Linked DNA regions of Oreochromis niloticus. Each later gene encodes a partner of the first gene's protein in a complex. Links are inferred from orthologs where the notes say so. Each region holds a gene or a part of one and is shown in the gene's direction. Other genes may lie near its edges.

Region 1 (7,522 bases):
AGGTTGTTTCATGTTGTTCCATGTTTCACACAGCATCAATGAAAGGCATTGATGCTGTGTGAAACATGAAACAACCTTCCTTTACGTAGTCAAAATCATCCAGAGGAGGCGTTTTGATACAAACAAGCAAACATTATTCTTGTGTAAGGGAGGATGCCCCGCTTCCGTCTGTATATCTTCTTACTGCTTATTACAACAATTCTATTGCATTGTATAGTATAAATGGATAAATGCAACAACGATGTATTTCTAGAAAGGTCTCGTGTTCTTATTTGCACGGGCAGTGGCAAGAGAGACATGCATACATTTATTTATTTATGTTTTCATGTTTAAGTTACATATTTAAGCATGTTTAAGTGGTCCTAACTGCTGAGGAGATTGTTTAGGAAAACTGAACTGAAACCCTATAATTTTGCTTTTGGATGAAACTGGCAATAAATCACTGTTTTCTTTACACAGGTTGGAACTCCAATACCACTGCCACCAAAAGCCAAGGCTGCCCTGAAGGAATGACTCATTGCTTGTTTGAGGGAGTGGTTCCCCTTGACTATATGGTCTATTTCAATTTCTTTGGCTGCGTGTTGGTGCCCTTGGTGATAATGTTGGTCATCTATATCCATATCTTCATGGCAGCCCGCCGACAGCTTCGACTGATGAGCCTCAAAGTTGCACACGTACCTGCTCCCGGACAGAAAACTCCATCTTCTGGCTCATCTCGTTCGATTCTGCAGAAGGAAGTACACGCTGCAAAATCGCTGGCTATTATCGTTGGTTTGTTTGCTCTGTGCTGGCTTCCTGTGCATATTATCAATTGCATCAACCATATTTGCCAGGGCTGTGAGCGCCCACACATCTGGGTGATGAACATTGCAATCATTCTCTCCCATGCCAACTCTGTGGTGAATCCCCTTATCTACGCCTACCGCCTTCGAGAGTTCAGATATACCTTTCGCAAGATTCTCTATCAGCACATCCTGGGAAAGAGGGATGGGCATGTGTTCGGGGTTGAAAGTGCTGATGGCAGAGGTGTAAGGAGCACTAGTATCATGCAGACATCTGCCCGTACGAGTAAAGAGGATTTATCATGTGGCACAATGGTAAATAGTTATGTTCTCGAGTCCAGTGCTGAGAAAACTACATCAAATGCCTCTCATGAGAGTTTAGATTCTGTACCTAACAGTAATACACCCAACGGACACCAAAAAGCAACTGGCACCCCATCAGAAGTACAGCATCAGCCAGGTATCTTGGCATCTTCTGCACAGGAAGCAGCAGCGTCCGCCACATATCTGGGAGGAGCAACAGATATCTTGGAGTTGAAAGACAGAGGAAGCTGCATTACTTTTGTAAATGTACAGGCACTCCCCTTAAAACAGAATGACTGTTCCCTTTCTTCAAAAATCACAGAAATATCATGACAAAGACATTTAGTTATTTCAAATATATTGCTCTCAGAACACACAGAACGTTCTGCAAACGTGAAATTTCAGCAAATCAGCCTCGACAGCAAATCTGTTTTTTTATGTAAATTTTTTTTTTTTTAGTTTGGAGTTTCTTTTTGTTTTATGTGCACTTTAACGTTTAAAGATAATATACTTTTTGTAATGTGCAGGTTTTTGCTATCTGTGTTGTTTGCATGCCATCAAAATTAAACATCTTTAAATATGTCACAGTTTTGTGGTGTTTTTGTGCTGCAGCACTGAACTGAACTTTGTCACTCATCCAGGTTATGATACTCTGAAGAGCTTGAAAAGAGAAGAAAACTAGACTTCTTTAAGTTGTGAAGATGTTTCACCTCTCATCCAACAGGCTTCTCCTGTTCTAAAAACACCTTGGCTGAAGTGACCTCAATAGGTCACATGGCAGGATGTGTGGTAGACCATACTAGCCCCTAGTGTGGGTTGTCCACTTGGAGGTGGTTGTTGACCCAATATTGATCATGCGAGTCATCACATGAGCCAAAGTGTGAAAAAGATGTGGGTCATCGTCAGGGGTTATGGGGGAAACCACTCAGAGACTGTGCCCCACCCTATTATGTGACCTATTGAGATCATCTCAGGGAAGGTATGAGTAGGGGTTAAAGCACCTGGGAAGGGATCTCAAGACTGCATTGTAGGTGGCTGATAGCTAGTGTCGTAAGGCACCACCTCTGTTCAATGATGGTCATTCACAAGTGGCTGCTTGGTTTCTCCTTGATGCACTGCGCAGCATACGCTATGTTGCTCAGTTTGTTTTTGGGAGTTTGGTCCTTGAGATCAACCAGTTTTTCTCTAAGGGTGTTGCTGGGTCTGAAGTGCACTATAATATCATGGTTAGAAGAAATTCTCATGAGTTTCTCTAACAAACCTGCTACGAGATGGCAATAGAAGGCCTCCTTTACTCCTCCTATAAACCTGGCCTTATGTTTGGGAGTTTTGTTCTTAGAATGAACCAGTTTTTGTCTGAGGGTGTGGCTAGTCTGAAGTCTGAGGATCATCCACATACCTGTACCAGTAGCTAGGTGCAATCCCTCTGAGGAAGACCAGAGCTTTATTAGAGGTTGGCTACAATGGCTGAGGTTGGATAGAGGTTCCTGCCCGTGGCACATCTAGGATTTTTTCTGTAGAAAAACCTTTTTGTATTTAAAATATGTGGTATCCTATGTGGAGATGTCTAACAGTGTGCAAATCTGATGTGGGATGTAGCAGATTCTGTTGTGTAAGGAGCTGTAGTTGTTTTCTGACAGTCTCCACTTCCTCAGTTGTAGCTCTACAAGTGAGAAGTGTGATGACATCACAAGACTTACAACTAAAACTCTGTTTGTTTTGCTGCTGTTGTGATCAGCGATTTGATCAGTGCCAGGCAACACATGTTCACTGTTGTTTACGAACCATCCAAAACAAAGAGCTTGTTTGCCTGTACAGATATGACCCCATATGCCTGTATTGTAGATGCTTTCAGAGTAAGGCTTGCTTGCATCACACTATGAAAAGGACACACATACCTAGGTAAAGTACATACACATGACCACAGACCACTCTGTAAGAAATGTTTACAGAGCAGCCTGGCACTGACGCCAGTCAATGAGCCTAATGCAATGGAAATCAAATGATGGTTCATTTGATGGTGTCTTTTATTATCCCATAATGCTTTCCCTTCCCTCATTAAAAAGCTCTTCCACTGTGGCAAAGACCTACATTAACCAGTTTTTATGTGCCTTAAAGCAATCCCAGAGAGAGGTCTCCAGGAATACGGGTACGTATCTAACTTGCACTGTGTTTATTCATAAACTTAAACGTATGCATTGTAATCATGCAAGAGGGGAATTAAAATGGGTGAAACCATTTCATTTCAATGGTTTTTTTGTTGCATGTTATGATATTTTGATAAGCATGAGATAAGGGTTATCAAAATGATTTGGTTATGGATATTACATAGCTGAGTCATAAAAAATAACAAAGATAAGGGGCCATTGTGGTATGATGACCTGGAGGAAAACAATCCAGTGTGTCCCTCTATAGTGTGTCATGCTGCCATAAATTACACATGTGTGACACCGGCATGCAAAAGGATTAAGCTATCTTTTAGAAAGAAATGCAAATTAGCAGAAACTCGGTAACAAAAGATTTATTGCAGCAGAGACCACAGTGTTTATTTAAAGAGTCATACTCTGTGCATTCCCTCTCTGGCTGATGATTTCAGTCAGCCTCATAAATTACCCACCTCCACCAATGCACCGTGTAACCATTGCAAGTACTGCATCCTTTGTTCTACACCTCTGATGTTCTTCTTTTTAAACCCCTCAAACTTAAATTTGTTAGTACATTCTTTTTGTTGTTGTTGGGGTTTTTTTTTCAAATCTTAGTTCTTCTGATGTGACTTTTTCTTTGCAGCCTGGCTAAATGGGTCACCATCCTTACTGTTAATGTTGAAACTTGTGTTTTGGTGATTCTTGTATCACTTAAAAAAAGTTACCAGAGAATCTGAGAGCAAACTATTTCTCAAGCTGGAGACTCTGCTGAATCTATCCAGCTGCTCAGTTGTGCACCACGGCCTGCAGGGAGCTACTTTGATGCTGTTCTGTTCTGTGAATGGTAACTGTAAAAGTGTACTTTCGGGACGGAATTTCCCACATACGATAGCCTTTGTTACTTGTAATAATAACAGTATGACTAGATTCACAGATAGCTGATGAGAGACAGGCTAGAATATCTGCTCATTCTTTATTCTTTATTCCGATTCACACTAGTTGTCCCTTGGGTCTAAAGATAAAACAATACAAAACATCCAACCATCAAGAGACAATCAGTCAACACATTGGAAAAAAAATAACCCATCAAATAAAAAGAGAATAGTTCCTGCAACTTATATGACAAACAATGACATATTATGAAATAATAAAAAAATACAATAAATGGCATCTATCAAAGATCTACTGATGATCACTTGATGTATCATTTTTTTTCGCCAATCGGTGTATCCAAATTCCTTGTGAACCCGTAAAGCCATAAAAATACAGATCCCACAATGCACTGCAGAGCATCACAGGAAGCATTCGATTGAACCGCCGGTGCATTGTGGGAAGGCGGAAAAAGGGCTCAAAAGGTAGGGAACCGCGTCTGGCGCACGTTGCAACGTCAAAAGAAGAAGCAATAACAAAGAAACTAGCTTTTACGATAGACTCCAGGTAAGAAACAAAAATACTCGTAATTCAACTGAGACTGTAAATTTTTTCCATGCTCATTAGCAGCGTTGTTTGTTTCTTGTGCGTGTGAATCAAGCGCGTTCGTTCAGGAGCCAATATGGCTCCGTCTATTTGCCGAACTAATAACTTATTACTGCAATAAAGAGGCAAGTGTTAATGTTGAAATCGTATTTGTGTCATTTTAAGTTTAATTTGTTACACATGGCATTAATTGGGTTACATTATTGTATGCAACCAGGATATATTATTGTCCATTAGCCTAGCTCGCTAATGAAGGCTAATTCCTCTCGCAGCTTCGATATTCAATGATTTGACTGAGAGATTCGCTTTATTGATCAGAAGTTAACTGTAGCTTGCTCATCCCATCTTAACGAGGGTCACTGATTGTTATATATTAACTCCCAGCAACTCTTTAAACAGTATAAGAGAGCTGATTATCGTTACACAGGCAGTACTCGAGTGAAAAATAAATTGGCGAGGATAATGATGTGTGGACAAGTGAAATGGTTCCTGATTGCCTCTCTGGTGTTTCTGTAACTAAACGCATCGCAAAATTAACAAGCCAGTTAGCCATACAGTTTGGTTACAGTTAAGTGTGATGTTTGATGAAAAAAAAAAAAAAAAATGCGTTTCCAGGAGCTTACAGCCTGTGAATGTGCACAGTGTAACATTTCTTCTGCTAAATTTTGTTTTCCAGAAACATTCTTGAAAAATGTCCATCGGCGTTCCAATCAAGGTCCTGCATGAGGCAGAAGGCCACATTGTGACCTGTGAGACCAACACTGGAGAGGTTTACAGAGGCAAGCTGATCGAAGCAGAGGACAACATGAACTGCCAGGTCAGTACATGATAAAGAGTGGAAAGTGAATGTGGATGGTGCTCCTCCTTACGGGGGTCCCATCAACCAAACTGTTGGTACTGTATTGTTTTTATGATATTTTTTTTTTTTTTTTTTTCCTCCCTTAATTAGAGTAATCAACAGTTTAGTCTTTAATAGGCTGCTTGATCATTTGAACAAGTTTTGTTTACTTTATTTTCAGGTAAATGCCCCTAAATGGCTTAAGGTCTTGTAAGGCAACACCGATAGAAAAGCTTAATGAGGCTAAAAGGAATTGCATTACAAATAATAGTGTCTTTGTTCTCTGCGTCTCTCTGTTTTCCCTTTAGGTAAATGTAAAAGGACATCTGAATGTTCAGGTTCAATTTGTGGTGTTTTTATTTTAATTATAACATTTATTTCTAGTTTTTTGTTTATATTTATTTTTTTCCCCCGTAGTTGTTTAAAGGTTTCCAAGCTTTCCACCTGATGGTGTCAAAATAAGAGTGAATTGTGCTAATCAAGTACTGGAGACCTAGATCTGGTAGCTGCATTAGTAAGAGCCAGTTAATTAAAAATTGGTCCCAGATCAGATGGTAAAAATCTGTTCCTTTTATGGCTTTGTAAAGTTTAGATAACTACTGTTGACTTGAATAAAACACTAAAGAGCAGTTTGATTACATTTGTTGAAAGAATGATCTTTCTGTTTCTTACAGATGTCTAATATCACGGTGACTTATCGGGATGGCCGCGTGGCACAGCTGGAGCAAGTTTACATCCGTGGCAGCAAAATCCGCTTTCTGATTTTACCCGATATGTTAAAAAATGCTCCTATGCTGAAGAGTATGAAGAACAAGAACCAGGGATCTGGTGCAGGAAGGGGCAAGGCAGCTATTCTTAAAGCACAAGGTGGGTGAAAATTCGCAGTGGATTGATACACCTGTCAGTATGTTCAGTAGTGGGAGCAACTGATGGTGATTTAAACTCACTGCATGCATTGATTGCCTTTTTGTGTTTGTGCAGCATAACTAAATCCTACCATGAGAAAAGTGCTTTCTGTCAGTGTTGCTCTGTTCCTTGTGTAATAAGTACAGTCTTGTCATAGGTGCAGGGGATCTGTCAAAAACACTGACTTAAATGTTTCATTGTTGTTCAATTTGTCTTCACATCCCCTTTAAGATAGAGCTGATATTTTGCCAAGCGGGTGTTAAGGATACAAAATTAGACTTCACTGTACTTCTCAAAGTACTGAATGTATTATTAAGGTTACTGAACAGTTTTTCTGGTTCAGTGAGGTACTCTACATTAAAAACTGATAGTATGCCATCTTTGTTTTTTGTGCTCTCCAGTGGCTGCAAGAGGACGAGGGCGTGGTGGAATGGGAAGGGGAAACATCTTCCAGAAGAGGCGATAATTGCTCCAGCTATATTAACATTTTTGCATTGTATAGTTTTTGTTTCCCCCTTGAATTTGATATGTTGGATATCATTTGAAATCTTGTACTTTGCAGTCAGTTGCTTTAATTTCTTTTTTTTTATTAAAATAAAAGTTTTTCAATTTGATGTGTCCTGATGTTTTTGTTTTGTTTTTCTTCTCCCACTTACAAGAGATTCACTTGTGCCAACAGTCTTATTTCAAAACATCCAATATTTAATAAGGAATGTACTAGGAATGCGGTGTTTAGCTTTATCCAAGTAATTTCAGTGTTAAACCCTGGGTTTTCTGTACTATAAAAGGTTACCTGAGTATATTGCCATGTTGCCTTCTGCTGTGGACCAGATAAAATCGGGCCTAAAATCACCACATACTAACCAATCAATTCTTTGGAAATTAATTTTACTATTCCAGAGGAGTCCTTGGCCCTGTGCAGATGGCAGCATTTAAAGGATTTCAGCACCATCCAGTCTTTTTTCCGTAATGGGCATCAGTAGTAAGTACTGCATTGATTCTTAAATGCTACCTCTCTTGTGTTGGCTGCAGACCTTGTATAAAATGTGCATGTAGCCTAAGCCTACATATGA
Region 2 (7,013 bases), on another chromosome or scaffold:
ATGGCACCATTCCTTTTGACAGTAAGTACTAAAACTACCAGCTACAAAAATGCAGGGATGATGTGTAATACCGATTTAGAAGTGGGTGAGCAGAGGCATGAAGAGCCAGGAGTTATTTGTTTGTCTGAGGACTTGCAATCTTTTCATTGGTTACAGAGTGTTTGGTAATGAAATGTATGCGTGCCAGAGAAGGTATTTTCATATGAGGGAAAATGTCCTCTGGCAAAGCACAACAAGCACTTTTGCTGTAACAAAACAAATTTCCCACCTGTGGGACTAATAAAGGCCATCTTATCTCTTATCTTATAACAAGTTAAAATATGACAATACGTCTTGATGATAGTAGTTTACTACCACCAAGATTAGACAGCTTTAAAACAAACTTCTAGGAATCCTGAAAGTCTCCTTACAGAAGTCCAAAAAACAAAAATCAACATACTACTGTATGCATGTATACCTATATATATATGTATATATAATTAATATATATATGAACTTAGATCAAGCTTATTTATATATATTTATATATATATATATATATATGTATATATAATTAATATATATATGAACTTAGATCAAGCTTATTTATATATATTTATATATATTTATATATATATATATATATATTATATATATTTATATATATATATTATATATATTTATATATATATATTATATATATATTATATATATATATTATATATATATAATATATATATATTATATATATAATATATATATATTATATATATATAATATATATATATGTAAAAAAAACAAAAACACCCAGCACGCCCCTGCGGGCGGTTTATCCTTCAAGCTCGGGTCCTCTACCAGAGGCCTGGGAGCTTGAGGGTCCTGCGCAGTATCTTAGCTGTTCCCAGGACTGCGCTCTTCTGGACAGAGATCTCCGATGTTGTTCCCGGGATCTGCTGGAGCCACTCGCCTAGCTTGGGAGTCACCGCACCTAGTGCTCCGATTACCACGGGGACCACCGTTACCTTCACCCTCCACATCCTCTCGAGCTCTTCTCTGAGCCCTTGGTATTTCTCCAGCTTCTCGTGTTCCTTCTTCCTGATGTTGCTGTCATTCGGAACCGCTACATCGATCACTACGGCCGTCTTCTTCTGTTTGTCTACCACCACTATGTCCGGTTGGTTAGCCACCACCATTTTATCCGTCTGCATCTGGAAGTCCCACAGGATCTTAGCTCGGTCATTCTCCACCACCCTTGGGGGCATCTCCCATTTTGACCTCGGGACTTCCAGGTTATACTCGGCACAGATGTTCCTGTACACTATGCCGGCCACTTGGTTATGGCGCTCCATGTATGCCTTGCCTGCTAGCATCTTGCACCCTGCTGTTATGTGCTGGATTGTCTCTGGGGCATCTTTACACAGCCTGCACCTGGGGTCTTGCCTGGTGTGATAGACCCCAGCCTCTATGGATCTTGTACTCAGAGCTTGTTCTTGTGCTGCCATGATTAGTGCCTCTGTGCTGTCTTTCAGTCCAGCTTTGTCCAGCCACTGGTAGGATTTCTGGATATCAGCCACCTCCTCTATCTGCCGGTGGTACATACCGTGCAGGGGCCTGTCCTTCCATGATGGTTCCTCGCCTTCCTCCTCTTTCTTGGGTTTCTGCTGCCTGAGGTATTCACTGAGCACGCTGTCAGTTGGGGCCATCTTCGTGATGTATTCGTGGATGTTTCTTGTCTCATCCTGGACTGTGGTGCTGACACTCACCAGTCCCCGGCCCCCTTCCTTCCGCTTAGCATACAGCCTCAGGGTGCTGGACTTGGGGTGAAACCCTCCATGCATGGTAAGGAGCTTTCTTGTCTTTATGTCAGTGGCTTCTATCTCCTCCTTTGGCCAGCCTATTACCCCAGCAGGGTACCTGATCACGGGCAGGGCGTAGGTGTTGATGGCCCGGATCTTGTTCTTACCGTTCAGCTGACTCCTCAGGACTTGCCTGACCCTCTGCAGGTACTTGGTGGTTGCAGCTTTCCTAGCGCCCTCTTCGTGGTTCCCATTCGCTTGCGGGATCCCCAGGTACTTGTAACTGTCCTCTATGTCTGCAATGTTGCCTTCTATATATATGTATATGTATATATATATATATATATATATATATATACATATACATATATATATACATATATATATATATATATATATAATATATATATTATATATATATACATATATATATATGTATATATATATAATATATGTATATGTATATATATATATATATATATATATATATATATATATATATATATATATACATATATATACATATATATATATATATAAGCTTGATCTAAGTTCACTCAAAGACATTTGGTGAGTTAATGGTTTGTAGTTTTGTGACAATCAACTTTTGGATACATTTTCAAGGAGGAGCATTTGATATGATGTAATATAGTAGATAAAATGCAGCTGCGCCTTAGTCACATTAAACAGTAACCAAATGTAATGTTACTATAATAAAAAAATAAAATCTAATAAAATGTTATCAACTATGAAACATGAACACCTTTTCACAGCCCATGTGTAAAATGAAAGGACCAAAATAGATCCCAAAGGTTGACTCTGTTCGTCTGGACGTAGAGTTTTCAGTGGGAGAAACATTTCATCACTCTTCAGTCTCAGCTCAGCTCTCTATCAACTCTCTACTCATGGCCAATGATCAGTGGTCTTTGATCAGTAGTTGTTGATCAATGGTCATGAGAATTTGCATATTAATGATCAAGGAACTGACCTTCCACCCATTGTCCCTTCAGTGGTGCTAGTTTCAGTCATTATGCAAATGTACTGTTTATAAGATTGTGGAATCCCGCAGTCAGCTGAGACTGAAGAGGTCACTTGGATGAGTGACGAAATGTTTCTCCCACTGAAAACGCTACATCCAGATACACAGAATCAGCCTTTGGGATTTACTTACCCGGATGATTGAGCATGCATCAAGATATTAAGATAAGACCAAAATAGATGGCACCAAGTTTCAGTAATTAGCTCACAGTACTTTGTCTATGTCATTCTCGAACCTTTATAGAAATGTTTCACTGGGTAAATCACCTTAAATGAAGCTCTTCTAAACCGTATTTGTCTGAAAGTACTTTTGTGCAGGGACCTGTAACTGTGTAATGTTTTTCAGTGTAACCACAGTATAAACCTGTCTTCTACAATCACTGGTAAAGACCAAAAGTTCTTCCAGACAGGGGCGGGGCTAAAGGGGTGGGGTGTGGTGGCACTGACATATCTGAAATTTGTTTGCTCCTCTTCTTCACACACATTCATCACTTAAGTAGAAATACAGATAGTTGTATTTAAAAATGCTCTAGTAAATATTAACATACCCATTCAATGTCCTTACTCAAAAGTTTTGTTTTTTTTTAAAAAGTACAGGCTCTGAAATGTACTCTATACAAAAATAAAAAGTAGCTCTTTGAATTTTTTGACAACTAATTAAAACTCATGTTATATTATTATTATTATTAAAAAAAATCTTAACAAAGGCAGTAAAAAATGTAGCTGTATTTGCTGTTGTCTAAATTGTAGAGCGTTGACTTTGCCTCCACACCTAAATAGAAAAACGACTATAGGGCTACATCGAGATTTGGCAGGTGTGGAAACACTAAAATTACCCGAAAAGAAAAACGTAGAAACAAGTGACAAGTTGTTTCTGATCGGATTTTCTGAATTCCTATGACTTCCACACCCCACCAACCCGCTGTGCCACCCCATTAAAAAAAAATCCCGGAAATGCCCTTTGTTCCAGTTAATATTAAGAAAATTCTTCCATGTTGCAGCTGGAAAGGATGCCGTGTTTTCCTGAAATCTGATTTTGGAAGTCATTTTTCTCATAAATGAAAAACAGAGGTTACCTAAAGCAGATTGAATAGGGTCAGGACGTCTTACAGCATAATTCACTAAGGAAAAACCTAAAATGTGGTTGCATCTGACTAAAACGTACACACGGACGTGACGTAAACACGTCTGGCGCTGGATTGATGACGTCACGTGTCTAGAAACGAACCATTTGCGACAAAGTACACAGCGGCAAGAGCTGTAGCAGAGGTATTATTCAACAAAGTTTCTCTTTCTTGGAGTTACGAATTGCATTGTTACCACAAACACTACATTCGTGGCCTAATAACACGGATTTATTTACGTTTTTAGGTAAGTGTTTCCGAAGTTTGTTCACTTCTTTTTATGCAGGGCTCTCTATTTCTCCTTCCAGATTTTTCCTTGCTAACCTCAACCCAGACTGCCCCGTTAGCAGCAGGCTTACTGCCTATTATGACTAACACAAACAAAAACAGAGGTTTTATTGGATGTAATTTATAATGTAATTTACACATTTGCTACTGTTATAATGAAACATATTTATTTGCAGCTTAGGAATCAAAAACTTTGGATCAACATGTCGTACATGCTACCACATCTCCACAACGGCTGGCAGGTCGACCAAGCCATCTTGTCTGAGGAGGACCGAGTCCTGGTTATCCGCTTCGGACACGATTGGGACCCGACATGTATGAAGATGGACGAAGTTCTTTACAGCATCGCGGAAAAGGTCTGAGTAGTTTATCAACGACGACTGTTTGCTAGCTTATGTTTCTTATCTGAACTCCTGTAGAGGGCGCTGTTTGTGGGGGTTTAACCGGATGCATGTAATATTATTAAGCTGATAAAATTCAGTATAGAGGAGGTCATTTTAGTACTTTAAGGGCAATACGTGGAATATTTTACCATTTATTGTAACATTTAAATACGTCTTAAAATCTTACAAATTGAAAATATATGCACAGCATCCTTGGTGGGGTCTTATTCTGGGATGTAGTGATTTTTCTCTCCTGCAAATAATCTTTCTAAACGCAAGTCTTTCTCTTACTGTTAATTACAACTTAAGAGGTGAAAGTTTGTAGAGCCTATAACTTGTACAAATGTAATGCTGGCACTTTTTCCCCCTCCCTCTCCCAAGTAGTCTTTGTTTTGGTCATTTTGTTTGTTTTCATGGTTCAGGTTTTTCCCAAGTCTTTGAGTTTCAGCAAGCTACCTTCAGTAATTTGCTGACATATGTTAGTCCTTATAGTGTGGCAACAATTTTTATTTTTTCACTGGTAAACTCAAAACCCGGAGGAAAAGTAGCCATAAAAGACAGTATGACTTTAGTAATGACTCAGTTCAGAGAGCCAACTTCACCCATGTTTCTGGGTCACTCCTTGAGAGCAGTGTTATGGATACAGCAAGTCAAGAAGAGGGAAAAAAAGTGCACCTAACTACATTTTCACTATGATAACTGTAGTGTCAGTGCAGTTTGATTCAATATTACTGTATCAATTTCCATTGATTCAATTTAGTTTAGTTTAGTTTTTTTGGCCTTTTAGCCTGTAATGGATAGAGACAGCATAGATAGACAGGAAAGTGGGGAAAGAGAGGAAGACATGCAGCGAAGGGCCACAGGTCAGACTCGAACCCAGGCCTGCTGCTATCTGGCCACAGGCCTGCTCACCAACAGAGCTAGTATTTGTTTATTTATTTAAACCCAGATTTTTTTTGTTTGAGACTTTCTAATGCCTCTTAAAGGGGCCTGGAGGCTCCGTACTACATTGACTGGTCATGGAAGATTATTGCTGATTTTACAACCAAGGCTTTTGCTGGAGGATTTGGCTCTGAGGTAGCAATTGGTTGATGATTTTCCAGATGTAACCTTGCTACCCAGAGCTGTTAAAGTTAAAAAGAAACCTGGCCTTGTGTAATTTTTAAAAGATAAAATTGACTTGATGTCCAGGAAAACATTTTGCTAAGAGCAGCACTTTTCTTCTTCTTTTTTTTTTTCTGTCTGTATTTACTTTTGTTTTTTACTTTGCCTTGACAGGTTAAGAATTTTGCAGTCATTTACCTGGTGGACATCACAGAAGTACCTGATTTCAACAAGATGTACGAGTTGTACGACCCCTGCACTGTCATGTTCTTCTTCAGGTGAGGCTGTCAGTGTCAGCCCTGCATTCTGTCACTGTTGTTGTTATTTAGTAGACTGGCATTGCTGGAATGCACTCAGGTTATTAGTTATTAAAACTAATCATATTAACAAAACTGCTAAATCTTGCAGTCATTGTACACTTCATTTATGTAAGGATAATCTAGTTCTTTTAACACTAAAAGTGTTCAGCTGTGCTCTTCTGGACTCTGCTTCACATCAAACTCACAACACATTAAATAAGCAGACCAGAAGACTGTACTAGAGAGGTATGATGGTGCGTGGGGGAAAACACCAGATACTGATATTTTAATAAAGAAGTTAACATACTCTGGGAATACTTTGAACAAGAGAGCTCAACTCATGCATGACCATCTTGAGAAAACTTAACCGAAAACTTTCCCAGCACTGGACACGCTTATCTTAACGCAGCTGCCCCCTAATTCAGAGCAAACAATCACTTTTTGATTGTAAGGCGATTACACAAGGTACCTGATGGGAGGCAACCTTTATGCAAACAGTTGCTGTCCGACTTGAATAAGCAGTCACACTCTGAGAGATTGCCGAAGGTTTGTAAATACGTGCTGTCTAATTTGTAAATGCAGACAGATTGCCAGCATGTTGCCATCAGTTTGAATGAGTCTTTGTTAAAAGCTGAAGGCAAGTCGACTCATCCGGCTGCCAGCTGGTTGTACTCTGGTTATATTCCTATAGAGCAGGAAGGTTCATCAGTTTATGCTCTGATCATCATCAGGAGCATCATCTATCAGCAGTCTTCCTCATGATTATGATTGGCTGTATCAAACTAGACAGATGGACAGTTACTTATTTGTTTTGGACTGAAGACCATAATTATAAAAGTTAAAACAAGAATACTTGAAATAATTCACATTATGTCACTGAAATTTAAAGAAAAAAAAAAAAACCCTTCAGTTTTTAGTTTTAATCTGTTTTCCACATTAGAACACAGATGGAAACCCAGTTTTTGGTATTTAAATGTGATTTAAAGGAACTCAACATCAAAC
Region 3 (7,357 bases), on another chromosome or scaffold:
CACACAGAAACAGCATTACTATCAGGTAATCAAACTTCATTATAATGGCAAGACAAAGAGAACTGCATGTTTCACATCTAGTTTAATCAGCTTTGCTCCTTTCTCCACTGCCATTGATCGTTTCTCTACTGGGTCAGTTCCTAATTAGCAGGAGGTCCCCATATGTGAAAGCACTTGAAATAATTACTAACGCTCAGCAACAGTGACTATAAGTGTACCTTAGAAAGTTTCATATACACATCACATTTCCTGTTTCATGAAGTAGTGAGAGAGAAGTAAAGTAATTTAACTACAAAGAATGCAATGTTACCAATCGATTAATGCATGAATGACTTCATGAGATATACTAAATATACACTACAGAAGGACAGCAAAACTACTAAGAAATATCATAACTAACAATTAAACTTCAAAAACCCTCCAACAAGACTAACTGGAAACCTGCTGGTCCTGAACACCTCGGACACACCCACCAGCAATGATTCAATGTTTGATGGGGAAATCCTCCCTCAGGGCAGAGTGCCACTCCTCACCCCAGAGAAGTGATGCTCTGAACAGAAATGCATCCATTACTGAGCTTATTCATCCTGAATTGAGTTTATTTTTCATTTATATTTTTAGGCAGAGAGCGAGGAGCTGACATTAAACTATTCTTTTGGTCAATACAGACAAAGTAAATTTCAAATGTAGGAAATATTTCTAAAAATCCAGCTTTCAACTTGTTCAGGAAAACCTTTGGAGTTACAGCCTGGACCCCCAAACACTTAAGCCAGTATGCTTAAGTACTTGGGGTGGGTCCAAAACAGTGGACCTACATGGCACAGTGACAGAGGTTCATGAAAGCAACACCCGCACAAGTGGAACAGAAAACTGCTTAAAGATTAAAGTTAGATTAAAGTTATAGTTTTCACACAGCTGAATAAACGTCACACAGAAAACTGATTAAACAGAAGTGTGAGATGGTCGAGAATTTACTCCAATGTCCTTTTATATTTTAGAAAGCAAAGAACAGATGGCTGAGTTCATTATTAAACTTCACTGAGACAATCTGCAAATTTCATTAAAAGTTTAATTAAACTATCATCTTGTCTTTGTTTTTAGTTAGCACATACCTTAAACACTTCAAGCTGTAAGCTAATGATAGTTATATAAGAGCAGATGCATGCTGGTGCAATAAGATGCACGTTTTACGTCCAATGGATGCATGATCTGATTAGTCGACTAATCATGCAGTTACACACTGAATAATCGGTGACTAGTCAACTATCAAAATAATCGTTTGTGGCAGCTCTACCTTACATTAGCCACATCTTTAAAGTGTCTATGGATGTGCATGAAATGTCCAATTTTGTCCCATCTCGCAGTGGACCAAGCTCCACATTTTGTGGCATTTTCATACAAATCTGTCCATGAGTTACTATGTAATCCTCCAAACAAACACACTGAGCCAACTGCAAAACATGTTAGGGTGCAGATTTGTAATGTATGTGCCAATGTTTCTTAATGTACTGTTAAAAATAAACTTTGCAGATGTAAGGAATTAAAAAAACATGCTTTCAATGTTTTTAATCAGGCTCATTTGTGCATTTTTATTTGTATTTACATGCTTAAAATTAAGTGGGAAAATATAAGTAAACATATTTCTGTGTGATGGATGTTCCTGCTGCATTACTGATTAAGGTTTCCAATAAAAAATACATGTAGAAGTCCTCGAAATCCTGCCAGGCAAGCAGATGGACAGCAGGTGAATAAGAGGAGGAGGGCGGTTGTGAAAGAGAGGCAGAGAAACGGATTAAAGAGCCAGGAACCCAATCTTGTGCCGCCCAGCAGGAGATCGCTGACCCTTATCAGATAACCTCCATCACCTCCATCCCTGAGTGCAGGCCCATTAAAGGCAACAAAGACTGCAAACTGGGTGCTTTGCCAGGGCTTTGGTCTCATCTTTACATCAGGAAAGCTGTTGTTTTATCTTTGGGCTTGAGCAGCAGCTGTTTGCAAAACCGCAGAAAGAAAAACAGATGGAGAGCAGAGACAACAACAACACCACTGAGGAGGAGGAGGAAGTTCAGTGTGTAACTGCACATTTAATGAAATTTGAATCAGCAGCAGAAGAAGAACAAAACAACAATGTGAGGAAAAATTAGAATCAGTAAAGCGGGGGTGTTAAGCTCACTTTACATTAACGGCCACACAGAGTTCAATTTGGTCTTAGGTGATGATTTGTCAGACAAATTATTTTCACAATTAAACAACTGCTACAAATGTGAAATCTTGTAAACCTCCTCGTTGGAGTGTCAAAAAGTTTCATATGCAGTAAAAATCCTTAAAAAGATTTAAAAAAAAATTAAAAGGTAAACACTGAGTGCTCCTGCCCCTCAGCAAGCTTCTGGAAGTCAGCCAATCAAGAGATAGCAAGCTTAAACAGAAGGGGCTCTTTTTAAAGAGAGACTTTGTTTCAAACTGACAAGTCGTGTAAAGGGCCAGTGCAAGATCGAGCAGGAGTTTTTAAAACTTTTTAGTGCAGTCCTAGAATAATGAGTCAGTAATGCCTTCTGTCTGTCTTGTCAGCTGGGCACAAAACATATTTTTCGCTTTTAAACAACAACAACTCCTATAATAGTGACAGTTAAGTGTCTTCTTTTTACCAAAAAGGCCCTAAAATATTAAGTAAACAATGACATGATACCAAGAAAATGTTTCTAAACAGCTCAAAGAAAACCTGAACTGATCGATTAATCGGCTTGTTGTTCCATTTTTGTGCATACCCAGACAAAAGCAGGGTCCAGGAGAAGTGATGATGAGTATGCTGCAGCCTGAGATGAAAACACTGAACTGCTGGCAGCAGACCTCGTGTTATATAACCCTGGGAGCCCACAGCAAACTGCTGTTCTTAACCCCTCTTCACTGACAGGGAAGCCAGGCAGTGAGAAGTCTGTAGTTTTTACTGTTTTTATGTTTATAAATGTCCGCATTACTGCAGGACTGTGCATGCGCTGTTTAAAAAAACAAGCGCATATTAGAGATGTAAGGTGACACTCGTACCGTACAGAAGTTTAGTGAAAATGCACCTTTATGTCAACTCAATGTGAGGACTTGGTTAGCAGTTAGCCGATGTTAGCTGGGAGCAGAGGTTCACGTACCTGGCAGCCTTTTTTGTGGTGAAATCCAACCACCACGATGTGCAGCACCGGCCCCTTCCCTTCGTCTCTGCCCTGAGGCTCCATCCCCGCTGCTGTACCCGCAGTCTATCGTTGTTTTAACTCCGGAATTGGATGTAAACACAGATAACCGAGGCCGACTTTTCTGTCTGTATCTCCCTGAATATGTGACACAGACAGACGGCAGCACCGCAGAGATGATTTTCTCTTCCGCTTAGTCCTCACTGGCCAATTGGGCAAGAGCATCCCCCGCAGCGCACTTCCGTTTTCGCTTACCGAAATTTAAGCTTACAGCTAATTGCCCCCCCAAGGACAGTCTTCAGTTAAGTAGAGTCAATGGAGCAAATTTACTTAGACAATACTTTCTTAAGTGTGCAGACAAAAGCCAACATTTTATTACAGTTTTCAAAATTTCAGCATTGATATTAAATTCAACTTAAAATAAAATTTAGCTAAGCTGTGCTTACTAGCTTTTAGCTGACTAACTGTTTAGTTGCCTATCTTATTCAATTACTTTTTAGCTAACTATCAAACAATAATTTAGCTAGTCATATTTTAGCAGACTAATTAGCTGTTAGCATACAATTAGCTTTTAACTGGCTAATCAGCATTTATCTAATAACCTTTTAGCTAATCCCGTTTAGGCTAACTAATTGGCATTTAGCTACCCTACCTACCCTACCTACTTTCAGTGTTTTTCGTTATGTAACAAAAGTTGAGTTATAAACATATACAACAGGAAGGCGTGTATAAATTACTAGAGATTTCCAATTGTATAATGTTATTAATATAACGTAATAAAAACATTTAAATGACCGATTAAAGTTTTAATTCACTGTTGACCAATGTAACATAATATAATAAGATAACAGTTAACAATTATATTGAGTGTATTTTTTGTCTTAAGCAGGACAAAATGAATGTAAAGGCTTTAAATGCAATCAGGCTGAAGTTCTTTTGGAAAAAGTCACGAGTTGACTAACATTTCCTTCATATTTTCCTACATTTCAATCTGGAATTTCCTTGGATGTTATCAGACATCTTGCCCTAGAATAAAGTCCGGATAATCTGCCGTTAAAGACTAGATAATTAGCTTAGTCTCTTGTGTTTCGAGCTCAATAGAAAACGTGCATGTCACCTTAAATTCCACCTGTCACGGTGAAATAAAGCATAACTATCCACGGTCAGATTTTACAGGGGTGAATTATCTTGATCTCTGTTCTGTTCTCTTTTTTAAACACAAAAATGATGTCATGTGTTCCTCGACACAACCTGCGCCATCGTGTGGAGACATACAGAATAATTTAATATCGTCCTCAGGTGTGTGTGTGTTTTGTTTGAATTTAAAAAGAAGTGTATTATATTTGGTTCCAACCATGAATGTTTGAATTTCTTTAAAAAGTAGACTGAAGATGTTTTTTGTTTCTCCAGAGACGAAATTGTTCTAGATTGATTGATCTTGTCTGGCTGCCACTTCGGTTCTTCTGTCGATTACTTCTGGCTTTGTAGAGGGAAGTCTCTTGATTGAACATGTCGGCTACAAACCCGTCGCAGCTGCTCCCGCTCGGTTTGTAAAATCTCTATGATGCTGTGTTTTGTTCCTGACGTCTGTGGGTTTAAATGAGGCTGTTCCGAGTCATCGTGCGGCGGCCGCAGTTTAAGCCGCGGCTCACTGAAAATCATTTTCTAGGCAGATGTTTGCTAGTTAGCATTAGCATCACGCCGGTAGGGAGCTAACGTTGCGGCTTTACTCTCTGCAAGCACAAACAAAATGCTTCTTATTTGATTTAGTTTGTTTATTAAAGTGTCAGAGGGGAGTTTCTAGCTGAAAAGTTAAAATAAAAAAAAAAACTATCATTTTTGTAATGGTGATTTAAAGAAATAATACGAAAAAAAGCTGCTTTTATCTGTGTCAATGTGTTACATTGCACTTAATGAAAACGTAATTCACAGATTTGCCCTGGCATGTTCAAAATACATTGTCGTCCTTTTATTTCTATTTAGTTATAGGTGATGCTTTTTAAAATATGTGTTTGCATATTTGTAATCCAGTCAAACTTCTATTTTTTATTTTATTTTAAGGGGATCGGTTTAATGTTATATCCATGTGACTAGGAGGCTATTATTAAATATTTATGGTATTTCAAAGGGTTAACTGTTGAGTCCTTAAGAAAGATAGACACCAGTTAATAAAGCGGTTAAGTGAAGTGTAAGAAGTAGAAACACCCACCTGAATTACAGGATGTGTAATTTCTCTGTATTTTTCCTTTTGCAGAGCTTGTGGACAAATGTATCGGCTCCCGAATTCACATCGTCATGAAAACTGACAAAGAAATTGTCGGCACCTTGCTGGGCTTCGATGACTTCGTCAGTATCTTTTAATTAAAACGTGTCCAAATGAGCGAGTTAGTGCACACCTAAACACCAACAATTTACAAAGTGTTACCGATGTTACTGTATTGTTCTGTACACACCATAAACTGTTTGAAATCATCCATGCTGTGAGGTGGAGCTGATGCAATGAGAAGCAGTGAACTATCGTGCTGCTTTTTGTTTCTGTTTTATTTAGAAATGTGAGAGAGGACACTTGCAGAATACCATTGGCATAAAAAAAAATGTGTAGATCTGTACAATGGGGGACAAATAGACTGATCAAATAATTTAAGGAAACAGTCAGTCATCACAGTACAACACAGAGTTCAACGTCAGGCATGTCAGTCTGTCCAGGTAGGAGTAATAAACCATCATAAATCTATTTCTGCCAAATTGGTGCAAATTAAAGTAACAACAGGTTGTGAATTTGATAACTTAAGAGGGAAGTCAGCTAGGATTTTCAAATTGATAACATAGGTGCACCTTCTAAAAGTCTTGGAGTTTGAATCTCGGTGACCTTGACTTCAAGGTCAGAGTAAGTTTTGTGAAATTCTTGTGAATGCGATAACTTGAGAATGAGGGGACATAGGATTTTGAATTGATACCACAGTTGTGTCTACTAGGATGAGGAGTACCGCTGGTGGCCGCCAGTTAATTAATGAATTAGTTAATTAATTATTAGGGATTAATAGGAAGTAGAAAGGCTTCTGTAGATGGGCGCTGGTACTGCTCACGTCCACGTCTCCACATCCTCCTGCTCGTTTGTGTAAACCTTCTAGCTTTTAGCTGCACTTTGATGTCTCTTTACTGTTTATTGTTGCACAGTTTGTCTTTAACTGTGTGTGTCAGACATGGTCCTGGAGGATGTGACAGAATTGTAAGTACTCCTGTTACATTTTTACTCTAACTACACCTTTTCTCGGGTTCACTGCTGACTATATTTATAAATGAATGTGTTGCAGTGAAATCACACCAGAGGGGAGGAGGATAACCAAGCTGGACCAGATCCTCCTCAATGGCAATAACATCACCATGGTAACCAAACAAACATCTGATCATGTCCTATAATCCCCCGTGTTTTAAACCTTGACAGGATGATTTATGGCGGCATATTTTCTCTTCTGCAGCTCATCCCCGGTGGAGAAGGACCAGAAGTATAAATGGCTGGAGGCCGGTTAATCTTCCTGTGTTGCTGTTCCTGACTTTATTATGTAATTATTATTGTTGATGTCTTGTTTTTTCTTTGGGTTTTTCCCTCCTGATCCTGAATGAGAAAGATATTTTTGTAATAAGATTCCTCACTGATGAGAGGTGCACATGCCGAAAAGTTTTTCTTTGTTAAAAATAAATCTGAGGATGTCACACAGTCTGAAAAACACTTTTCTTTATTCATTCTTTACCACACAACTTAAAATTTAGTGCAAATCTTGGTATAAAACCAAAGTGTTACCATGAAACAGCAGAACTAAAAACCCCCCATCCAGTTGTTTATGTATTTATTTTAAATGTTTATCAAACAAAGAGCCGGATACTTGATTGATATTGAGTTTAGCAGGTGATCAATGCAGCTGAAGGTTGTTTAAATTCATCCCAGTGGCTTTTCCCGTTCCCCGGGAGCCTCAGTACATCGAGGGCTTCTCCTCTCCTTTTGGGTTGGTCACCTTCTCCAGGTTTTTGCTGATGATGTCATAAAGCTCGGCCTGAGGAAAACAAGCAGAAATGCAGGTAAATAATCGACTTACAGCAGCTAAAAATACATTGTTAGTGATTAAACTATTTGAAAATCAGTTTTTCAATCTTATAGAAAAACTCAAATATTTTATTTA
Region 4 (7,236 bases), on another chromosome or scaffold:
AACTCCTGCACACTGTCTCACTTACTGCATTAGGACTTTGTAAATCTAGCGTGGAGGAGTTACAGTTAAATTGTTGTGGAACTTTTACTCTGTCACCCATTCAGGTGTGCAGAAATTTTTGAGCCATATTTTCTGTAAATAGTTCCTATTTTTTGTGTCAGGTTTTTGTTTTCACGTCAGGTAATTTCATGCAGTTTCCAAAATGTGTTTACTAGTGTCAGCTTCATTTTTGTTGTTTGAAAATCTTTAGTTTCACTTTAGTGAAAAAACACGTTTCTCAGAATAGATAATATATTACAAACACAGGAACTCAGTTTCTTTAGCCATAAATAGACATGGCCAAGATCAATTTCACACTGAGCATCAGAATGGGGAACAAAGGTGATTTAAGTGACTTTGAACATGGCATGGTTGTTGGTACCTAACAGGTTGGTCTGAGTCTTTCAGAAACTGCTGATCTGCTGGAATTTTCCAACACATCCATCCATCATCAGGGAACACCAGCCCATCCACATCAACAGTGTCAAGGTCGAAAGGGTCAGCAGCTTCAAGTTCCTTGGAGTCAACATCACTGAGGACTTCTCCTGGACCCTTCACACAGACACTGCTATCAGGAAAGCTCGCCAGCGGCTTTACTTCCTGAGGAGGCTGAGGAGGTTTGGCATGAACGCCAGCATCATCTCAAATTTCTACAGGTGTGCAATCGAGAGCTTGCTGACGAGCTGCATCACAGTTTGGTACGGAAGCTGCTCTGCCAGCAGCCGTAAATCACTACAGAGGGTGGTGAAGGCAGCAGAGCACATCACTGGCACGAGGCTTCCTGCCATTCAGGACATTTATCACCAGCGATGCCTCCGTAAAGCACACAGCATCATCAAGGACCACAGCCACCCAGCACATCAGCTGTTCTCCTTGTTACCATCTGGCAGACGTTACAGGAGTCTGTCTGCTCGGACTACAAGACTTAAAAACAGTTTTTACCACCAAGCCATACGACACCTCAACCACAACACTTAAACACACACAACACAGGACTCAGAAGCTACCCTGCAGCTTCACAAGTACTCTGTTTAATCTGCACTGGTCACTTCACTTTATTGTTATTGATATTTATATTTAAAAAGTGCAATACTGTAATTTTCTGCTGCTCATTCCTGTGCAATATCCCATCTGCCCTCCCGTCATATTTCTTTTCAAGATTTTCTTATTTAATCACTAGTGTACATATATTTATATTTATAGATACATATATATTTAGTCATCTTTTCTCTTTTACCATGTCTCTCTAATATTTTGTTCTTTACTATTTTTCTATTTGTTATTTTATTTTATTATATTATATTTTATTATATTTTTTCCTACTGTATCATGCTGCTGAGAGACCGCTGCTCGTCAAACACATTTCATTGCGATGTTGACCCTGTGCTAACTTGCATATGACAAATAAAACTGAAAACTGAAAACTCTCAGAGAATGGCTTAAAAAGAGAAAATATCCAGTGAACAGCAGTTCTCTGGGTGAAAATGCCTTGGTCAGAGGAGAATGGCCAGGCTGCTGATAGGAAGGTAACATATAACTACTCAGTACAATGAGGCTATGCAGAGGAACATCTTTGAATGTAGAACATATCAAACTTTGAAGTAGATGCGCTAAAGCAGAAGAACTACTGGTTGCTACTTCTGTCATCTAGGGAACAGAAAGCTGGGGATACACATCACACACTAACCAAAATCGGGCAATAAAAGATTCTCAACACGTTACCTGGTCTGTGGTTCAGGAGGCACAGCGAGTCATCTACTAATCGGAAGGTGTTTGGTTTGATTCCCAGTCTCCTACTCTGTGTTTCAATGCTTTGTTGATCAAGATAAGGATGGGTAAATGAGGCTTGTAGTAAGAATATAGGACTCATGCAGAGTAGAAAAGCACTGTGTAAGCACAGCCCCATTATTTCTGTTTCAGCATTGGCAGGGTCAGAATTTATCCTTCACAGTCTCCAGATCTTAGTTGTGCAATCTGCAGCAACTACGTGATGAGAGTATGGACCGTATCTCTAAGGAATGAAAGTGCTTTGCTTTAAGTGAACCTAGTTTCTATAAATTAACTCTTATTTTTAATATTTGGAATAAGACAAAATGTGCAGTTAATAGCTTGTTGATTATTTCAGTCTCAGAGATAAATAAATATCAAAGCTGAAACAAAACGCCACGCAGAGCTGAGTCGAAATTTGGGGTTACTATCTCAAAATTCATTACCTAGTGCAACTTTCAACTTACTATCTGAAATTTTGAGTTATTACTGATTAAGTCAAAATTTTGACTTACGGGCTGATTTTATTTTAATTTTTCACTAGTAGAAACAAGCTTTCGTATGGAAAAGATCATTTCAAAAGACAAGAAATAAAGAGAAGCAAACTGTCTTGTTACGTCAACTTGTTAAAATTTGCATTTAAAATGCATTTTCTGTGACTGTAATAGGACTTTTTTCTATTCAGTTTGTTACTGCATGATCTAGAAAATGTGCTATCAATTTTTAAGAACATAAAATCAAGAAATAACCACCCGAAATAAAACCGTGAACAGCACATCTTGAAGAAACAGATTGTGAGTTGTCTGGTTCTTCTTTTGGTGGTTAAAAGGGTAGAAAAATAGTCTGAATAATTTCAGTTCCAGAGACCTGAGGAGGCAGAAGCTGGGCTCTATTTCCTGTTACACCTCAAAGAAGTGAAAACAGTCCTGAGGGGAAAGCGTCAAAAACAACAGAGAATTCTTTTGTAGAAAGAGGAATTTTATAGTTGTGTAAAAATTCAGCACAAGTAAACAGATGCACTTCTTGACTAAATAGTTGGCTTGCCGTGAGAATGTTGTTATCAAACCAGTTCTGGAAAAAATTGATTTGTTTTTACAGAGAATATAACTCTTATTCCAAATAAAACACTTCTTAAGCACTCCTAAAATAATTCACACTTTTTAAGATTAAGGCAAAAGACCAGAAGCTTTAGAGAATAATTCTAACAGAATAATTGCAGAAGAAATCCCCGTGCTATCTTTTAAAAACAATGTTGTGTCATCAGCAAGTTGACTAATGAGAAATGTCCTGTTAGTGATAGAAGAGCCCTGTAAGTTGCTTGATTTTATATGTGAGCAGAGCAGCTGAGCAACAAGAAGAAAAAGATATGGTGAAAGTGGACAGCCTTGTCTGATGCCTCGCTGAACATTAAATCTGGCTGATGATCCATGTTTAAGCTTAATAGAGCAGTTGGCATTGTTATATAACTACGAAAAAAGGCAAGGCTTTTAAGTGAATGATGTAAAAACTGATGTTCAACCGTGTCAAAGGCGTTAAAACAATCTAAAAACAGAAAATAGCCATTATCTGGAATTATGTATGAGTAATTCAACATATCCAAGATAAGTCTGATATTACTGGAAATATGTCTGTTAGGTAAAAAGCCAAGTTGCTCTTCATCAGTTATTGTTTCGGAATTAGAGTAATTAATCCTTGAGTCATACTCCAGGGTAATGCATCAACTGATATACATTCATACTGAGGATGAAATAACTTATAGAACTCAAATGACAAGCCATCTGTCCCTGGTGATTTGTTATTTTTCAGCCTTCCTGTAGATTTCAAAAGGTTGAATCTGTTCATCTGGACATAGTGTTTTCAGTGGGAGAAACGTTTCATCACTCATCCAAGTGACTTCTTCAGTCTCAGCTGACTGCAGGTTTCCCCAACCTTATAAACAGTACATTTGAACAATAACTGAAACCAGCCCACTGAATAAACAATGGGCTGTGAGGTCAGTTCCTTAATCATTAACATGCAAATTGTCATGACCATTGATCAACAACCACTGATCAAAAACCATTGATCAATGGCCAGGAGTACCATTCACAGACTTTTTGACAGATAACAGAGTGTCACATAAATCCTCACCTTCCTTCCAGTTTGGGAGTGTTTTGTAAAGAGTTTAGAAAAGCCAGACCATCACTGCCTATAAAGTTTTTTTTATAATAGGATGAACAGAAATTAGTTATCATTTTCGGGTTATCAGTTACCACTTCCTCTATTCTTAAATGAGTAATTGTTTTCAATTTTGCAAGATACTTTTCTAACTTAAAAAGTATAAAGAATTCTGCTCTTCCTTCTCCAGCCACTGTTTCATAGACCACACAAATGTCCCTTCTGCTTTCCTCCTATATACTTTGTCCAGAACGTTTCTTGTTTAGTGGTTGTCGTCTATTCTATCGTGCGCATGTCTGTACTGTCTTCGCGCATGCGCAGTCTATCGCTTAGGAAGAAACGGGAAGATGTCTCTGACGAGGTGAGCTTCACGATAAAGCCTTTTGTATTTATAAATTGTGAAACTGTATTAAATAAGATATCGATTCAACTGATTGGTTTCAGGTGTATAGACTACGATTAATGTATCACACTGGTATTTGTGGTATGTACGCTGTCGGTTCTGTATCTGATTTAGTCGATCCAAACGGCTACGGCTAGCAAGTAAAAATGTCGCGAGTTCAACATTTAGCAATAGCTAGCTTATCAGCACGCAGCCGTGGTCACGATATGATGTAGTTCGTTGTGTAGACGTAGTTTAGTCAGCCGCGTGTTAAAGTTGGCTTCTCTAACATTTTCTTTTAACTTACCTTGATCATTGGCTATTTTAACTGACACTTACACGCGTGTCATAATTAACCTCGAAGCTATTTGTTGTCACTAGCGGCTAATGCTAGCCAGGGCATACAGCGCTTGTGTTACTGTTCATCACTTTGAGACTTACATGTGGATTCCTGTGTGTTCAGCTTTTTACCGGCGCCGACCCAGCTGTCCCAAGATCAGTTGGAGGCAGAGGAGAAGCTCCGGGCCCAGAAGTCCTACTCTACCGCCCTGGTTGCATCCCGTAGAGAGCCCCCTCCTTATGGACACAGAAAGGGCTGGATACCTCGCTCACTCGAGGTAAAACCTCTTGCTCATATGGGATAAGTTTCTTGTTTTGCTCACTTATGGTTGGGTCCCTTTTTGTCTAACCTCTACGGTTTGAAGATGAAATCAACCCTGAGTTTTCACAGCAAAATATGTGTTTCTGCAGGACTTCGGAGATGGAGGTGCTTTCCCAGAGATCCATGTGGCTCAGTTTCCTCTGGAGATGGGTAGAAAGAAGAAGACATCAAATGCCCTGGCAGTACAAGTGGATGCAGAAGGAAAGATCAAATATGATGCCATTGCCAGACAAGGACAGGGAAAGGATAAGGTATATGGGCATTTTATCCCTTCGACAGTTAGCAGGGATCCTCTCAACACACTCCAAGGATTTGTCTTTAAATCATAATATACAAATCAGCAATTCTCTTCTTAAAGCCTGAATAAAACCTCTCTCATGTGCATCACTTTCACACTGCCAGAAAATGACATTTAGGCTTTAGTTTATTTGCATGTCTGGCTCTGTTTTGATTTTAAAAAGTGGCATTCCTTTATTGGTTTCATTTTTCATTCTTATAGGTGATCTTCAGTAAATACACAGACCTGCTTCCAAAGGAAGTTCTCAATGAAGATGCTCCAGGACTACAGAAGCCAGATGAGGAGGCTATACAAGAGGTAAGAGCAGGTTTAGATTTGAGTACTCACTAGTCATTTTTAGAACCATTTACCAAAGAAGTAAAATATTTATATAAAGGCGTTCTCAAAACCAACAACTGCCACAAAGGGCTTTTTAGAGGTATCAATTAAAAATCTGCTAATGTCAAAGGAAAAATGCACAACGTATATTTTTGTCCCAGTAAAGTTGCTGAGCGAGTGAAACAATTTGTCATAATTAGTTTTGACAACTTTGTATTTAGACTTTTTAAACTTAATTGGTAAGAAGTGTTGGACACCAGGATGACTCTGCTTATCTTTAAGATTTGTTTTAGTTGTCATTATGAAATACAAGGTTGTCTAACAAAATTACTGATTCAAGTCCATTTAATCCTTCCTGCAAACTAAACCATAAAGGCCTAAATGAATGAATAAACAAGTAAAGAAAATATAAAGACAGTTCAGGCTTTGAGTACATCAAAGCCTGCGATGTTCTTGGTGATTGTTAATCTCCCGATTTTGCACATTGCTCAACCTTCATCAGTTTATGTTGTTTCCAGTCAGGATGCTTTCTTATTACTAAATGTTTAAGGAGTACAGTTTCTCTTGTGTCATGTGACTGCTAATAATTGCAAACAATTCCTGTATTGGATTTCTTTAATCTGGAATGTAAACATGATCATCCTTTTGTGTCCTTTGTAGCTCACAGAGAAGACCCGTGCAGCCCTGGAGAAGCAGGTGTCTCAAAAAATCGCTGCTGCCATGCCTGTAAGAGCCGCAGACAAACAAGCTCCTGCACAGTACATCAGGTATGTATTAGTCAGAAGATTATCAACACTGCACACAGTCAGGGAGGAGGGTGGGAAAGTTGACTTCCAGTTATTGTAGTGCTCTGTAGTACGTGGGCCTGAGGCCTTCTTAAACTTCTTTCAGTTCTACTCACGCTACTCTTAAATTCTTTTTATGTGGGTACAACAGCATATTGGTATAGCTTATTAACAGTAAGCTAATGATTTACACTAGCTAACATACGTACTGGAGTCTAGGAATCAACTCAGATCATCCCCCCAAAAAAATAACCTCTTTGTCCGCATCACTTTTCCTTGACTAAAATAGAAATCATGTGCGTGGGGGATCCAACCACACTTACATTAGACTCCTTAGTATTTTCATACTGGATGTCTGCCATGTGGAAACTGCAGTATCTAGAAATGTTCATCTTACACTGTTGTTTTATGAAGGTCATATATAAATGAGAACAACAAATGAAAAATATCACTTCATTACAAAGTTTGGAATTTTTTTTAGAAAAGGGACCCCGAATTTTAGAGCTGAGCATACATAATTCTGCTGCTCAACGATGGTGGGATGTTGATCAAATGGAGCATAACTGAAGTGAGCTCTGTTTTTGCACCCCAGTGCACACAGACTGAGCAACCTTTGATCATTTATGACCCAAACTGAAATGTCTGTCAGAGTACGGCTATTAATGGAGTTGTGTTAGCATGTTAGATTCATGTTTGAGTCTGAAAATGTGTGACTGCTGAAACAGCGGTCAAACAGCGGTATCTGCAGTTGTGCCACATGAACAGCATCTTGAGAGAGAATTTGCCAGTAATTATGTTTTATGCTCTTGTACACATCAGTCATCTGTTG

The links.
Region 2: snrpd3l (region 1) and txnl4a share a complex: the UniProt entries of both Homo sapiens proteins name them as parts of the U4/U6-U5 tri-snRNP complex. The link is inferred for Oreochromis niloticus from reciprocal best matches to the Homo sapiens genes SNRPD3 and TXNL4A.
Region 3: snrpd3l (region 1) and lsm5 share a complex: the UniProt entries of both Homo sapiens proteins name them as parts of the U4/U6-U5 tri-snRNP complex. The link is inferred for Oreochromis niloticus from reciprocal best matches to the Homo sapiens genes SNRPD3 and LSM5.
Region 4: snrpd3l (region 1) and snw1 share a complex: the UniProt entries of both Homo sapiens proteins name them as parts of the minor spliceosome. The link is inferred for Oreochromis niloticus from reciprocal best matches to the Homo sapiens genes SNRPD3 and SNW1.

Annotation. Positions count from the first base shown.
Region 1 is NC_031972.2:24,898,360-24,905,881, forward strand, and holds snrpd3l (small nuclear ribonucleoprotein D3 polypeptide, like), read left to right. Parts: upstream 1-4,508; 5' UTR 4,509-4,666; intron 4,667-5,381; 5' UTR 5,382-5,396; coding exon 5,397-5,522; intron 5,523-6,217; coding exon 6,218-6,410; intron 6,411-6,850; coding exon 6,851-6,915; 3' UTR 6,916-7,063; downstream 7,064-7,522. Other genes in the region: adora2ab (adenosine A2a receptor b), read left to right, coding at 460-1,418. UniProt on the Homo sapiens protein: Plays a role in pre-mRNA splicing as a core component of the spliceosomal U1, U2, U4 and U5 small nuclear ribonucleoproteins (snRNPs), the building blocks of the spliceosome.
Region 2 is NC_031985.2:28,337,923-28,344,935, reverse strand, and holds the start of txnl4a (thioredoxin-like protein 4A), read left to right. Parts: upstream 1-4,008; 5' UTR 4,009-4,184; intron 4,185-4,401; 5' UTR 4,402-4,428; coding exon 4,429-4,581; intron 4,582-5,886; coding exon 5,887-5,990; intron 5,991-7,013. UniProt on the Homo sapiens protein: Plays a role in pre-mRNA splicing as component of the U5 snRNP and U4/U6-U5 tri-snRNP complexes that are involved in spliceosome assembly, and as component of the precatalytic spliceosome (spliceosome B complex).
Region 3 is NC_031974.2:8,915,188-8,922,544, reverse strand, and holds lsm5 (U6 snRNA-associated Sm-like protein LSm5), read left to right. Parts: upstream 1-4,341; 5' UTR 4,342-4,478; intron 4,479-4,589; 5' UTR 4,590-4,688; coding exon 4,689-4,725; intron 4,726-4,764; exon of another isoform or gene 4,765-4,883; intron 4,884-5,433; coding exon 5,434-5,529; intron 5,530-6,380; coding exon 6,381-6,408; intron 6,409-6,493; coding exon 6,494-6,566; intron 6,567-6,658; coding exon 6,659-6,691; 3' UTR 6,692-6,907; downstream 6,908-7,357. Other genes in the region: late secretory pathway protein AVL9 homolog, read right to left, coding at 3,141-3,224; psme2 (proteasome activator complex subunit 2), read right to left, coding at 7,151-7,231. UniProt on the Homo sapiens protein: Plays a role in pre-mRNA splicing as component of the U4/U6-U5 tri-snRNP complex that is involved in spliceosome assembly, and as component of the precatalytic spliceosome (spliceosome B complex).
Region 4 is NC_031980.2:2,829,155-2,836,390, forward strand, and holds the start of snw1 (SNW domain-containing protein 1), read left to right. Parts: upstream 1-4,219; 5' UTR 4,220-4,310; coding exon 4,311-4,324; intron 4,325-4,808; coding exon 4,809-4,962; intron 4,963-5,095; coding exon 5,096-5,257; intron 5,258-5,505; coding exon 5,506-5,601; intron 5,602-6,282; coding exon 6,283-6,389; intron 6,390-7,236. UniProt on the Homo sapiens protein: Involved in pre-mRNA splicing as component of the spliceosome. As a component of the minor spliceosome, involved in the splicing of U12-type introns in pre-mRNAs.